Linked DNA regions of Notamacropus eugenii. The protein of the gene in region 1 interacts with the protein of each later gene in a pairwise test. Links are inferred from orthologs where the notes say so. Each region holds a gene or a part of one and is shown on either strand. Other genes may lie near its edges.

Evidence for each region. The genes of interacting proteins can lie anywhere in the genome.
Region 2: the proteins of ATOSB (region 1) and FHL5 interact in binary tests that used the Homo sapiens proteins (3 or more experiments, as listed by UniProt). The two-hybrid records come from large-scale screens. The link is inferred for Notamacropus eugenii from reciprocal best matches to the Homo sapiens genes ATOSB and FHL5.

Annotation. Positions count from the first base shown.
Region 1 is NC_092872.1:78,502,460-78,510,425, forward strand, and holds the start of ATOSB (atos homolog protein B), read right to left. Parts: upstream 3,015-7,966; 5' UTR 2,901-3,014; intron 2,732-2,900; exon of another isoform or gene 2,602-2,731; 5' UTR 2,572-2,601; intron 1,570-2,571; 5' UTR 1,476-1,569; intron 186-1,475; exon of another isoform or gene 1-185. UniProt on the Homo sapiens protein: Transcription regulator that may syncronize transcriptional and translational programs.
Region 2 is NC_092873.1:172,750,946-172,758,206, forward strand, and holds the start of FHL5 (four and a half LIM domains protein 5), read left to right. Parts: upstream 1-4,250; 5' UTR 4,251-4,265; coding exon 4,266-4,372; intron 4,373-7,261. UniProt on the Homo sapiens protein: May be involved in the regulation of spermatogenesis. Stimulates CREM transcriptional activity in a phosphorylation-independent manner.

The DNA of each region.
Region 1 (7,966 bases):
ACACTTCTAGCATTATCTAACAGGATCTCTGATGCCCGGCCCATTTGGGCAGCCTGTGCATTCCCCAGAAGCTTCTGAAACTGGTAAAACCAGGCTATCACTACCCTCTTCCAGTGATCCCCTTCCCCCAACAAGAAAGCCAGAAAATCTTTCTGCCCTAGGCCCACCCTCTCTCTAAGAGACAGTCGGGGAAGCAGTGTTGCCATGGCAATCTGGTCGTCCTCATCAGGCCTCAGCCTGTTTTCCCCACCCCCCACCCCTCCCCCCCACTAACCTGCCCCCCTTTGTTTAGGTCTAGGGCAGTCTTGTCATGTCACTGACACCATAGGCTGCTTTACACATGCATCATTCATCTCCTCCTGAAGCATCTCTTGCCCCCAGCTAAAACCCCTCCTCATACCCCACCCCCAATCAGAAAGGGAAAATCCTTTAATGCCCTTATGGAACAGCCTTCAGTACCATACCAAAGTCTCCATAGGGATCCAAGAGTACTCACACCTAGGGGAAATAGGGCCAAACATTACAACCAGTAGTGGTTCTTGCTCTACTAGGTGGGTGGAAGGAGAGAAGAGTTTTTCAAAAAAGAATGCAACTTCCTTCTTCCCTTCTATAGCTGATGTTGAGAGCCCCACTCTCTTCTAGGGCTCATGCTCTAAGGGAAAATAACCTTTGCACTTACAGAACATAAGCTTCAATGTCTCCCACAAGGACCCAGGACATCCCAGAGGGTGGGGCTGAGTGAGTATTCAGCAAGTGGTAGAGGCCTGGTTTCTACCCAGAGAGCTCCTGGCCAGGAGAGGTCTGCTATAATGAGAAGGGTTGGGCCCTATGGACACAGCTTGGTACTGTGGAAACAGTACTAGATCTGGGGTCAAAAAATACTGGGTTTGAATTCTGGCTCTGCCACTTACTACCTGTATGACTTTTGGCAAGTCATATGAATTCTCTAGGCCTCAGTTTCCCCATCTGTAAAATGAGAGGAGGGGTGGTTCTAGATGACCTCTAAGGGTTTCCTTCCATCTGTAGTTCCATTGATCTGTTACCAGGGTCTCTGGGTCCCAAACACCTGAAAACAAAGCTTGCCCAGGGAGAGCAAGAACCAGCCAAGTCCCAGGCAAGGAAGGAAGTGGAAATGAACACACCCAGAACAAAGGGGCAGGGCAAAGGAAGGTCCGGGACAGGGGGCAGGGAGGACAGGGACCAAGGCTGATATTGGTGAGGAACAGAAAATGGGGGTTGAGGGAGGCTCTTAAGAGGAGCTGGGTGCTATTGAGAGTAGGACCAAGTAGAAAATGGAGGATGAGTGAAGAACAGATGTTGGGCGGGTGAGAGGGAGAAGGCTCCCTAGAGATATCATGGACTGAGAAAGAGACTTTAGTCATTATTGGATAATCTCACAGTTGGTAGAAGTGATCATTCCTCAAGCCTTACACAGGGCATACTGACAGGATCCCCCCCGGGGCAACAGTTCTCACCCATGTGAGAGCTCAGCACCCCCCAAGGCCAGTGGGGCTTTGTGCTGAAAGTATCTTCTCCCTCCCTGGTCGGGGTTTCCATGGGTACTGGGAGCTGAGGAGAAAGTAGGGGCACTTTGTGGGCACAAAGCTTGCTAACTTTCACTACTGCCCATTATCAGTCTCCTACGAATCAACCCTTACCCTTTCACTCCAGATGTATCCCTCCCTCAGTTCCTCTTCTACTTCCTTCTTCCTTCTGGAGTCCCCTCATTTTCCTCATGCATACACTCCTGCCTCCCCACTATTCTGTTCTTGTAAATTCCAACATATGGCCTCTTATAATATTCCTATTCACAAAATACTGCCCTACTCCTCTCCCCTTTCTGACGCATTCCCCAACTCTCCACCTCCCTCTCTTATGCCATTAAAGCCCTCCCCTTCCAGGCCAAACCTTTTTATTTTGTTCCCCTCTTTCTCACACAAAGGAACCCCTTCTCTTCATACAGTGATGTCCCAAGGGATCTTCCACAGGTTTATCCTTCCACCTTACAGAGTCATATATCCACCCCAAGCACCTTCTCACTGGGCCCCTTCTGCCTCACTGGGATTGGGCTAGACAGGGCTGCCCCTGAGACTTGCCAGATCCCCCTCCTCACACAACTGACCCCACCTTTCACAAGCCCCTTCTCTCTCTTCATATCATTCTATCTACAGGCTCCTTTTCTTTTGTCATACAGACACTCTATTTCCCTCTTTCAAGCAGCCCTTCCATTTCACTCCACAGACCTCCCCCTCCGCCCGGGATGCACCCCCTAAATACCTTCACTTCTTATTCACAGCCCCCTCCACAACCCCGTTCCCGCCTCAGTACCCACCTCCAAAGCCCCCTTCCTCTCCTCCTATAGTCCCATCCTCACAGACCCCTCCCCTTTCTATCCCAGCGCCCCCTACAGACCCCTCCCCTTCCTCACACAGTACCCCACCCCTTCCCTTCCTCAAAACCCCTTGGATCCCCTCCCCCCTCCAGCTTTCCCACAGACCCCTTTTCCACCTAGCCTTCCCCATCCATCTTCTCCCCCTTATGCAACAACGCCCTGCATCCCTCCTCCCTCACCTGTAGCTCCAGTGGTCGATCCCCTTGCACCTAGTGAGGGGCAGGGACAAGAGAACAGGGGGGTGGGGGCGGTTACTGAGCAGCCGCAGCCTCTGCCACATAGCCCCTCCCTTCCCCTCCCCCAGGTCCGCCCCTTCCCTTCCTTCCTCCCTTCCCCGATCCCCGCCCCTCTCCCCTGCAGGTTTCCCCCCTCCCCAGCCCCGCCCCGTCCATCCCTGACTCCGATGGGCCCCACCCTGCTCCCTCGGACCCCGCCCCGCTGCCCGAGCTCCGCCCCACTTCCCGGGCTCCGGCTGACCGCTCGGAGGACTGGACCCCTCCGGGCTCACCCTTGGGCTGGCTCGGAGGCTCTTGATTGACAGCAGCGGTCTAGCGGCCCAAGCCGGCCTCCTGCTGCGCTGAGCCAATCGGCAGCCGAAGAGCGCAGCGACACACGGGGACTGCCTCAGGTCCCGCCCCGGCCACGTGCGGCTTCTGTGATGACAGATCGGGAGGGGGTGGGGCCTGGCCTTTGAGAGCTGAGCAGGACCCCGAGGGGTGGGGCTGGAGGCCGGTAGCCTGCGGGCAGTCCTGCGGCGTGTCCGGGCCAGTGTAGGCGTGTTGTCCGGGACTCGCAGGGTCACCTGTGCTCACGCTGCAGCCCGTGGGGCCCAGGTGAACTGGAGCACGAGCCTGCCCTCCCTCTCCTCTGCGTCTCTGCCCCAGCCTGGTGCAGAGGGGTCAGGTGCCCAGGAAGGGGAGATTCAAGTTGTAGCAGGGGCTGTTAACTGGTTTTGGACTCCGATTTATTCCTCAAATTAGCTCTAGAGTTGAGGAACCTGCGGCCTCGAGGCCCATGTGGCTTGACTGAGTTCAAGTTTTACAGAGCAAATCTTTTTATTAAGGGGATTTGTTCTGTGAAGCTGGCTTCCGTGTAAGAACCGCCCTCGAGGACTTCCTTCGGCCTCGAGACCACAGGTTCCCCATACCTGACTAATCCTTTCCATTTGGAGGCGCTGTCCAGTGGGGTAGTGTAATTCCTTGTAGGGAATCCTTTATGAGGCAGGGGATTTTATTTGCACAGGTAATGCTAAAACCTCAAAGCTGAAATAGAGGAACTCCTCTTAGTACAATTCCTTACGTCTTTGAAGATGACGGAACTTGACACTCAGAAACCTTAAGTGACTTGCCTGTGGTCATACAGGTCCCAAGTCCTCTGGTTGCAAATCATGTTCTTTTCATTATACCATGCAATTCAATAAACATTTATTAGGTTCCTACTATGTGCATAAAGCCCTGTCCTCCGTGCTAGAAATAGGCTTACATACTCAAATGAAAACCAACTCAGCTCTGGCTCTCAGGGAGCTTGCAATGGAATTAGGGGAGGTAAGACTAATAAATAAGATACAGATAAAAGGTGTTAAAGGGGAAAAAAGACATCCAGACCAGGAACTTCTCAATTTTTCTTTTTCTGTAGAGTCCTTGTTTTCTTTGTATCCAGTGAGATATATATGTATGTATATATGTGTGTAGGTATATGTATATATACACATACATACATATATGAAGAAAGGCTACTTTGTATTCAATAAGGCTTTCAAATGAATTTCACTGTTACTAACCACAACAGTTGAGGATGTGTGGAACAGTGGATAGAGAGCTGACGAGCCTGGAATCAGGAAAACAAGGGTTCCAGTCCCTCTTCTGATACATTATAGCTTTGTCCCCTTGGCAAGTCATTTGATTCTGTGTGAGTGAAGTAACTCCTTAGCACTTATCTATTAAAACAGGGACAGGCTATGATCTTCATAAGTGTAGGAAGTGCTTTACCCTGAGGAAATTGAAGATTCTTCCTACCACCACCACTGCATCTATATAAAATGGGAAAATGGTAATATATGCGCAAGAAATTATATATATTCATCCTACCGAAAATGTTTGTTTACTCATACGCTGAGTCATCTAATGAGATTCACTCCTTGCATTGTCTTGGTCCATCTCTCCACACTCCCCTCCCTCCACCCCCATGCTTCTGGTGTGGGCCCTTGATCTACAGATTAAGAACTACCAGTCTAGACAAGGGCAGCTTGGTTTCGAAGTGGATAGAGTGTGGGGTCTGGAGTAAGGAAGATCTGAGTTCAAATCCTGCCTCAAACACTATCTGTGTGACCCTGGGTAAGTCACTTAAGCCTGTTTGGGTTGTTAAGAAACCCTTTCAGTTTCTTCATCTGTAAAATGAGTTAGAAAAGGAAATGACAAACCACTCTAGTATTTTGGCCAGGAAAACTCCAAATGAGGTCATGAAGAGTTCGACATAACTGAACAATAACAAGTGTAGACAAGTGAGAGAGGCAGCTAGGTTGCTCAGTGGATAGAGCACTGGGTCTGGAGTCAGGAAGACCTGAGTTCAAATCAGGTCTAGATACTTACTAGCTGTGTGGCCCTGGGTGAGTCACTTGACCTCTGTTTGCCTTAATCCACTGGAGAAGGAAATGGTAAATCACTCCAAGAAAACCCTAAATGGTAAATCAATAAAACCCCAAATCACTCCAAGAAAACGCCAGAAAACCCCAAATCACAAAGAGTCGGACATGATTGAACAACAACCAAGTATAGACATGATGCTACATTGCCACGGATGTGTGCACTAGAATCGAAAGAAGTTGGGCCTCTGCCTTGCATCAGTCTTAGGAGCTGTGTGAATGCAAATGGAATGGAATAAAGGTGAGGAAGTGTCTCTGGCAGCCTGCTAAATAGCTTACCCTGGGATGCCCATCTCCCAGCTGCCTGAAGATGGCAGCATAGGGCAATACAAAACAGCAATGAAATGAGGGCTGGCCTGAAATTGAAATCCAAGAGACTTTTTTTTAAGAGTATCCCAGAAGGTATGTAAGAGTTTATAAGACTTTTGGGTAAATGTGTATATCTGTGTGCATCTGTACAATTCATAGTATCTGAGTGATTGTGTGACTCTAGAATTTCATTCCGAAGTGATTGGAATTTTGGGTGTTATAGGTTGGGGAAAGGGAAGAAGCATTTATATGGTGCATATTATGTGCCAAGTACTATGATAAATGGTTTTTTTAAACAAATATCATCACATTTGATCTTCACAACAACCCTGGAATCTAGATACTATTATCTTCATTTTACAGTTAAGGAAGCTGAGGCAGACAGAGTTTAGGTGACTTGCCCAGGGTCACACAGCTGATAAGTATCTGAGGATGGATTTGAACTCAGGGCTTTTCCATTCCAGATCCAGTGTTCTATCTATTGCATCCCCAGCTGCCCAAATATATTCTAGGTAAGCTTTGTTCCCAGCTTTGGGTTTCTATCCTCACCTGATTTCCTATATTTCCAGTCCTTTCTTTGCTTAAGGAAGCCTGAATTTTTGAAAACTGGAAATAAAATGAGTGTTGGCTGTTTGAGTAGGGGATGGTAGGCCTCCTTTGAGTGAAGGTCTACATTTTTTTCTTGAATGAAGACTCATTTCTGGTATACCACCCAAGTGATATCTGCTTGATGTCTCAAGCCTTTGGGTAAGAAATTTAGGACAGAGTAGCTGCCCATGGGGCTTCTCTTTTCTTCAGATATTCATGCTTAGCCCCAGAGATTTTACAGGTCCACTGTCTCCCTTTCCCCTTTCTTCTTCCCATTCCAATCCAACTGTCACAACAAATTCAAAGCTCCGTGTATTTGTTGTATTTCTAGAAGTTTCCATTCTGAGTCAGTAGGTTCTTCAAAAGGAGTGTTGAGGAGGGGGTAGAAGGAAGGAATATGTCAGTTCCAGGAGTTGCAATTAATTCCTAGGTTTTTTTGATAACTTCTTCATATTGACTCTTATCCTAACTAAACCCTAGGAATAAGGATTAAATCCTGACTGTAGGAGAAGTCCTGGTTTTGCCTGAGGAGAACAAAATGAACAAACAACCCCAAAAGTCAATAGGTGTGATGACCCTTCCTTGAGCGGGTGGGTGGTTCAGTGGACGGAGTCCTGGGCCTGGTGTCAGAGAGACTGAAGTTCAAACTGAACCTCAGAAACTTACTAGCTGTGTGATCCTGGTCAAGTCACTTAACCTGTGACTGTCTCAGTTTCTTTAACTGTAAAACTGGAACAATAATAACACCTACCTCCCAGGGCTGTTGTGAAGATCAAATGAGATAATATTTGTAAAGTGTTTAGTGAAATTCTTGGCACATAGTAGGAGCTTTAAAACAGGTAATAATAAGTAGGAGCTTGTTTCTCCTTTCCCCCATCCCCACCCCTTGAACTATCAGTTAACCTGCTCATGGCTCTACACCAACCAATCTATCAACAAGTGGCACAGTATTTTATTTAAATACATTACTACTCCTGCACTATCTTTTAAATTTGTCTTCTCTGTATCTCCTTTATTTTCACATAGCAAACAATCTAGTAAGCCTGCCTAAATTATCTCAATAGTCTCCTGACATCATGGTATTATTTCTTCTTCTTGCCTCTCCTCATTCCAATCCATCCTTTGCACTATGACTGTAGAATTATTCTTTATGCACAGATTTGGTAGTCCTCCCTGTCACAACTCTTCAGTGGTCCCCTAATTGTTTATCAGATAAATTTTAACTCCATCCTACAACAGCGATTCACAAAGGGTGGGTAGAATATGAGGGTTCTTTCAGAGTTCTAGAGTATTGTGTGGAACTTCTACTTGAAAGCCAATGAGAATGCTCAGCTGTTAGTATGCTCAGTGCAAAGAATAATACTGTGTTGTGAACAGCAGAGTAAGAAAACCAGTGGCCTAGAGTGCCCACCATTGTCTAACTGTGTCTTGCATTATGTTTCAAAACCAAAGTTCTGTGCCCTGACTATGTCCTTCACTCCTCTCTATCTCTTCTTTTGCTTACATCATTCCCTATGTCTGAAATAGGCTCCCCTATCCAGATCTGTACCTATTGAAATCTTATCAGTGCTTAAGCATCCAGTTGAAATGGTATTTCTTTTAAAAAGTCTTCCCTGAACCCTTCAGTTAGTTGAAAATCATCTTTCCTTTTTCAGAACTTGTACTAGCTCTTTTTATTTATCATTTTCCCTTTTGTAGTATAGTTATTTGTAGATGAGTTTGTCTCCTTTAAATGATGATCTAGCTTAAAGACGCCACTTGGCAGATGCCATAGGGGCTGGTGATCCACACCCTTCTAGTACTGAACCCTGTCATTGTGGTTTGCCTGGGGTTTCTCCCTATTTTTTGTTGGTTCATCAAAACCCCACCTGATCTACTCTGGGGACAGTGTTCCTTTTGGACCTTATCTAGGACTTCTTTTCTCCAAACAAAAAGTCATGTAATGCACAATCACAAACTGAGTATAGGACAAGTAATTTATTCTCACTCAGAAACTAATGACAAGACAATCACAAGGTCCACCAGTAGAATGGTTA
Region 2 (7,261 bases), on another chromosome or scaffold:
ATATCTTAAATTCAACAGCTCTAAGATTGAATTTATCTCCTTCCAGATTCTTCCCTCTTTCTAACTTCCCTAATATGGTTGAAAGTATCACCATCTTCCCAGTCACGCAGGCTCAACATCTAGATATCATTCTCATTCTCTCTCACTCCTCATGTCTAATGTGTTTCCATGTCTTGTTGATTTCACCTTCACAATATCTCACATATGTTTCTTCTTCTGTCTTCTGATACCACCAACACATTAATGCATGCTCCCACATTTCCTTATACTTGGACTATTTCTATAGCCTGCTAGCTGTTCTCCCTGACTCAAGTCTTTCTTCACTCCAGTTTGTCTTATATTCAGCTGTCAAAAGTGATCTTCCTACAGTACAGGAATGAAAATGTCACCCCCTATCAACAAGTTAAGTCCACGAAGTTTCAGTATATTCCAAAGACCCTAAATCCTGGGGAATAACATATGTGGGTTAGTACAGCACAACCTATAAATAAGGATAAACTATACATACTCATGGTACATTGCAAAACACTGAATTTGGAGTCAGCAGAACTATGTCTGAGCCCTTCTAATGAATAACTGTAAAATCTTGTACAATGTATTTTACTTCTCTAAACCACAACTTCCTCATTGGCAAAAGGAAGGAAACAAAAAAAAATCTTTATGATCCCTTCTAACTCCAATGACCTCTGGTCTGCGGTTTTTTCTAATCACATAGTCTGCTATGGCCCCCAGTAAAGTTTTTATTTCATTCTGATTCACAGAAACCAATAATCATGATCAGACTGAGTGCCAGGCACATTGTGGGTTATTCAAGCTAATGAATATGTTGTCAGTTTAATTGAGATTATAGGTTTAATGCTGACATGGTCCATTTAGTTTCACCATATTCCAAAGACCCTAAATCCTGGGGAATAACCCACATATATTGTTGGCTACAACAGATACTAAAAAGTGCAGAGAAATCACCACAAAACCAGCCCCTTTACTGGAAAAAACAATTCTGAAAACTTATCCCACTGATGTATTTGATAGCATCATCTTCAAATGGAAAAGGCAGATCAAAGTTTATAGACAATCCTTATTCATGAGACATGAAATAGTATGGGATCATAGGATTTGGTAGTAGGATTTTAGATTTATAGCTGGAAGGGGGTAACTTAGAGAACAACTAGCCCAACTGCCTTAGTTTACAAATGAGGAGACTGAGGCCCAGGGTAGTGAAATGATTTTTCACTAGTCACATTGGTAGTCACAACACAGGAATTTAAAAATTAGCCTTATTATTCTAATTAAAATAAAAGGATTAATTTATGTTAAATGTACCTTCAGTGAAACTCTAGGAAACTGTCATAGTGATTTGCTTTTGTTCCCAGTGAGTCCTGGATTCAATCAAATCCTCAAACTTACTGGGGATAATATAATACTGACTATGGTGGGGGAAGGAATGAGGAAATATGCCAATATTGCCATAATTGTGGATTTGTATTTATAATTATGGTTTTTAAATGTTGTCTACAAGACCTACCATAAGAGGTGAGAGACCCAAGCTTGAACTATAGCAAATCACCCTAAGATAGGGAAATGTTTGAAGCTAGTGGTTAAAAGCAAATGAAAATAAGTATATAGGTCTCATTGGCTCTCAGGTGTGCATTTCCACTCATATGACTGAGGAGAAATAAAAGGGTGCAAAATGGGGCACAGGATCATAAAACCATTTCATTTATCTGGTTGTCTATAGGGGTAGGAGGAAACCCACAAGCAGATAAATAAAACTATTCTCTGACACCCAAGTCCATAGCTAGTACTTTAAGGTGCAATATCACATGGAATGGTCTAAATGGTATCTCTCCTCATCTGTAAAATGACAGTGTTGAACTAGATGGTTTCTGAGGTCCATATCAGTCCTGTGATCACAGGGAATAAACTATGTCTAAGGTTTCTTCTTTAAGGCACATTAGGAGGTACCAGTTTATACAATTTCCCACCTATACCTGAGGGCTGGGAAAGCAGATTTTAGGACACCCAAGAACCTTGCCAACTAAGTCCATGGAAAAAAAATTAGAATTGAGTTATCATTAAGGATAAAAAATTGTCAAAGAGAAAGAATTTGGGCAAAAAAAAAAGATGTACTCAAGAAAGAGTGATGGTGTCCAGTGGCTATCATTTAGGGTCCATATTACAAACTAAAAACTTGTATAGCTTGTATCCCACCTCCATTTTTCTCCTATGGAGTCAGTGTCCTTTTCAAAAGTACTCAAGGAGGTAGTATACTGTTTGGGGAGAGCATGTAAAAGGCAGAGGGTGAGTGAGTAGGTAAACAAGGTAAAGAAAAATCAACTGTCTTCTCTCCATAGGGAATTTATAGTATGTATCTGCATATTAGGGATATAGTATGTATCTGCATATTTTCCCAGAAAATTAGGGAAAGGAATAGCAATGAAAAATCTAGTAGCAAATGACCCGGGACTTCCAGGCATTGAAAGAGAACTCTAAACTCGGGGCAACAGCAATACACTTCCTTTGGTTTCTACGTCTTTATCATGCCATCTCACTTCATGTATCTACAGGGTGCTCCAAAAGTCTTAGCTTATCCAAGCCTATTCTCTTCTCCATCCTTAACTTTTTCTCTCCTGTCTCTGTACCTTTGTCTACACCATCTCCTCTGCTGACAATGGACTCTCATCTCCCATCTCCATTTGTTGAAATTCCTCCCTTCTTTCAAGATCCATGTCAGGTGCCACCACATATAAGCCCTCCTTGATCCCTAGTTAAAAATGATATTTCCTTCTTCAAATTTCTTTCACGCTTTACACATATCTCAAATTCCCATTTGTTACAGTTATTTGTGCATATGTTATATCATAGTTATTTGCACAACTCTCCAGGATCTTCCATTGCCCTAATTTTCCATTTTAACTCATACTCTTTTTACATGAGCTCTATATTTCAAACAAACTGGACTACTTGTCATCTCTCTTACACCTCTTACCTGTCCCCATGGCATGCTTTCCTTCCTCCAAAAAATAGCACATGCTGTTTACTATGCCTAGCATGTCCTCTTCCATCCAACCTGCTGAATTCTTACCTGCCTTGTAAAGGCTATTTCAAATGCTCTCCAGGAAGCCTTCCTTGATCTCCCCAGATAAGGAATGGTCTTTCTACACTTAAGTCTCACATTGCTCTTATGCACTTAGGTACTATCATTATTTTTATAGATTTACAACTTACTAAATTGTAAGCATGTTGGAGGCAAGGACTCTGTCTTATCTACCTTCTCTGTCTCCTCCAATACCCAGCACAGTGCCACATAGAGTAGGTGTTTAATAAATGTTTGTTGAATGTAGTGATTCTAGGGATACCACATCTCAAAATGTTATGTTGCCTGCCTTTTGGATAACTGCTGGAAAAAAGATATAATGAATTGCTTTAAAGATAACCAACAGGAGTGGAAAAAATGGAAGACATGATCTGGAAACTCCATAGACTAGATAATACAAAGTTGAGTCCGTCAAGTAATAATCCTTTATTTTATGTTATATCAGAAAATTATCCTCCTATGAAAGAATCATAGTTAGCACAATCCTCAAACACTTCAAAAAAATTAAAGTCTTTGTTGGTTTAAAAAAAAATAAGAAGCTCTTTAAAATATGGGCATCACCTATTACATATTGGTCCAGTGGCAAAAGCATTAGTTCTGAACTCGAAGAGCATGGTTACAAATTCTACTTCTGATACTTACTACCTTTATGACTTTGGGTATATCACTTAGCTTCCTTGGGCCTCAATTTCCTCATATGAGAGGAAATATGAGGGGGGGGGAAGGGAGGGAGAGGGAGGGAGAGAGAGAGAGAGAGAAATCAATTGGCCTCTGCAGTTCCTTCCAGCTCTATCTATGAATAAATTCTTGTTGACTGATTGAATTGTTATTTATCTCAATAGTAAGAGCTATCATAATTACATCAGTCTCTGTAAAAAGTGTACCATGTATTATTTCAGCATCCGGAGAACAAATTAAGCTACTGGAAAGCTGTAGTCAGCTGTATTATTTCATGGGAGAACTGTTTGTCACTCCCCAGAGGATATGGAGTTGAATGCCCAACGTAAGACATTCAGCTTCCAACCGAACATGGCCAGTAAAACATATCCCTAGAGATTAATAACATTCCACTCCAGTTCTCTGATGCTTGTTTTGGGTTATTTTGATTGATGGTAGAATTAAAAACTCAAGTTATTTTTAAAAGGGAAAAACAACCTTTTCTGTTAGTATGATAAATACAGCTGTAGAACCAAAAGCCAATATTCCAAAAGGTTCCAGCCTCTCAGAACAAGAAAGGAGCTGGGGAGCATCTAATTCAACTCCATTATTTTCCAGGTAAGGAAAGTGAGGCCCAAAGATATGAAGTGATAGAGGCTACTAGAAGGCATGGTGGATAGAGGACTAGACTTGGGATGAGGAAGAAGTGAATTCAAATCGTGCTATAGAATCGTGCTATGGCTTTTCCACCCTGGGTTGAGTCCTTTAACTTAGTCTTTCCTTAACTGTAAAATGGAGATGCTAACATAACCTACTGTACAGTCATCATGGAAATCCAATGAGATAGTATGTCCAAAGTATTTTGCAAACCTTAATGTGTTATATAAATGTTAGCCATTATTATTATTAATTATTTCTATTACCCAAAGCCACAGAGCTAGTTATCAAAAGGCTAGTTCTGAAGTCCTGGTTTCCTGACCTCCAGTCCATTGCTCTTTCTACTATAAACTGGTAGTGTCAAATGATTATGGCTAGAGCCTGTCTTATTCAAGTATTGATACATTCATAATTGCAATTGACCCCTTACAACAACCCTAGCAAATAGGCAGAGTGCGTATTAAGGTCCTTTACTCTGGGGGAAATTGGGACCAAGAGATGCTAAGTAACTTGCTCAGGGTCAGTCGGAGCTGACATTTGTATCTTCATTTTACAATCGGGGAAACTAAGACCTAGAAAAACTGAGTGATTGCTCAAGATGACACAAAGTAGGGCTAACTATCGGACTAGAATGTGAATCTTACTGCTAATCTAGCGCTATTACCATTACATTGTGTTTCTATTTGTGCTGTATTTTTTCCATTTGGAAGTGTGAGTTTAAAATGTTTCCCTTTGGGCAACAGAAATCTTCTTTGGAAAGAATGTGAAAGGAATTTAAAATTCTCTATAGTCTTTGGAGACACAAACCACAGGTATTCTGTTGGACGTTCCTCAAGATTTCTCTGACTTTATCCAACCTTCTAAGCTTTTATTTTGCATTTGTAACATGCCTAGAACTGGAGGAGTTGGGAGAGGGGGAGAAGGAAGAAAGGAAGGGAAGGGAAGGAGAGGGAGAGAACATTCAGAGAAAGTAGTATGGTAAAGGGGATAAAGAGATGATCTCAGAACTTTGGAAAACCTAGGTCCTTTCTTTGAAAAATATACTGCTTGTATGACCCTGAGAAAGTCACTTAACTTCTCATTGTCCTAGAGGCAACTCTCTAAGACTCATTGCCAATCTTCTTTGGTAGAGTGAGTTTCCTAACAAAGATTTCCCAATACCAATGAAATCCCAAGTCCAGACAAATACATACACATATATCCACAATATATACGTACATACACACAACATATGCATATGATATAGGCATATATTCTATGTATGCCTATATGGGCATATGCACACATATGTATATATACACACACATATATATATATACATACAGTGTATAGAAAATATACACACACAGAGCTAGGTCATACAATGAATAAAATGCTTGAACTAGAGTCAGGAAGACTCATACTCTGATATAAATCCGGCCTCTGACACTCATTAGCTGTGTGACCCTGGGCAAGTCACTTAACCCCGTTTACCTCAGTTTCCTCATCTGTAAAATGAGCTGGAGAAGAAAATGGCAAACTGCTCTAGTATCTTTGCCATGAAAACTCCAAATGGGGTCATAGAGACTGGACATAAGTGAAAATATTGAACAGCAAACAACAATGCATATATACATATACATATACATATGCATGCCTATTAGATGTGTGTGTTTGCATGGATTTGGGGACTTTATTTGACAGTGAGGCTCTTCTGTTGTCTGGCTCTTTCCAGTCTTGTCTTCTAATCTCTCCCTTTGCACAGAGTGATGATTTGCTCCCTCATCTCAGCGACTTAGTTTACTCAGCTAGAACGCCACACTCCTACACCACAAGCTCCACTTGTACAATTTACACACGTCTTCCAAGAATCAGACCAAGTGCCATATCTATGAAGTCTTTCCTGGCAGCCTCTAGAGGAGGGGTTCTTAACTCTTTTGTATGCTGTGTAGTCCCTATGGCAGTCTAATGAAGCTTTGGATGGAACTCTCTTCAGATTAATTAAATAACTTAAGGAAATAACTAAATTTTAGTTAGATATTAGTGGAAATAAAAATGTATTTCTTTCCCATTCAAATTCACAAACCTCTTGAAATCTAGCCATGGACTCCAAGAGGTCTGTGGTCCCCAGCTACAGTACCACCTGTTTCACTAGGCTTTCCCACATAGACTACAGATACTGGTGTTTTAGCTTTAAGATCCAAATGAAATGTTACAGAAAAAACAGTTTGGCTGATAGTTTGGAGAGTTTTAGCTGTCATTCCAGAGAGACTTGTCATGCCAGTGAGGTGATTGAAATGCCTATCACACTGGTGAGAAAGTAAAAAAGAAACAGAATGACCAAAATATTGTTTGAACTTATGAAGAAAGCTTATAAAGAAAATTATATGAGAAAGAGTGAAGTGAAGACACTATTTTCCTCTCAAGGATGGAGAGAAATTAGAGAAGGTAGAGAAAAAGAAGGTGGGAAAATCTTTTCTGGTGAAGTTGTTTTGAATATATGAATAAACAAATGAAAATAGCATTTAACAAGTGCTTACTACATGCCAAAAAGCAAAAATAGTCTGTCACACTCTAACTGGGGGAGACTACATAAAAAAGAATTTCAGCTGCAGGGCATATGGAAAGGCCAGGAAGACCTAATGGTTCTGCAACTAAACTGATGTGAAGACCAGGAGGTTCATAGTCAGTCAGATGATAACACCCTGGGGTGTAATGGGTATAGCAACAGCAGGGTAAAGGGTTTAGCCTTGAGTACATTAGATTGTAACAGCAGGGGAGATGGCAAGGCCTATTGAATCTCCATTTTGCCCAAGTGATATGAGCTGTAAAGCAGCCTTAGAGAGGGGAAGAAGGGAAAGGAAGGGCCAA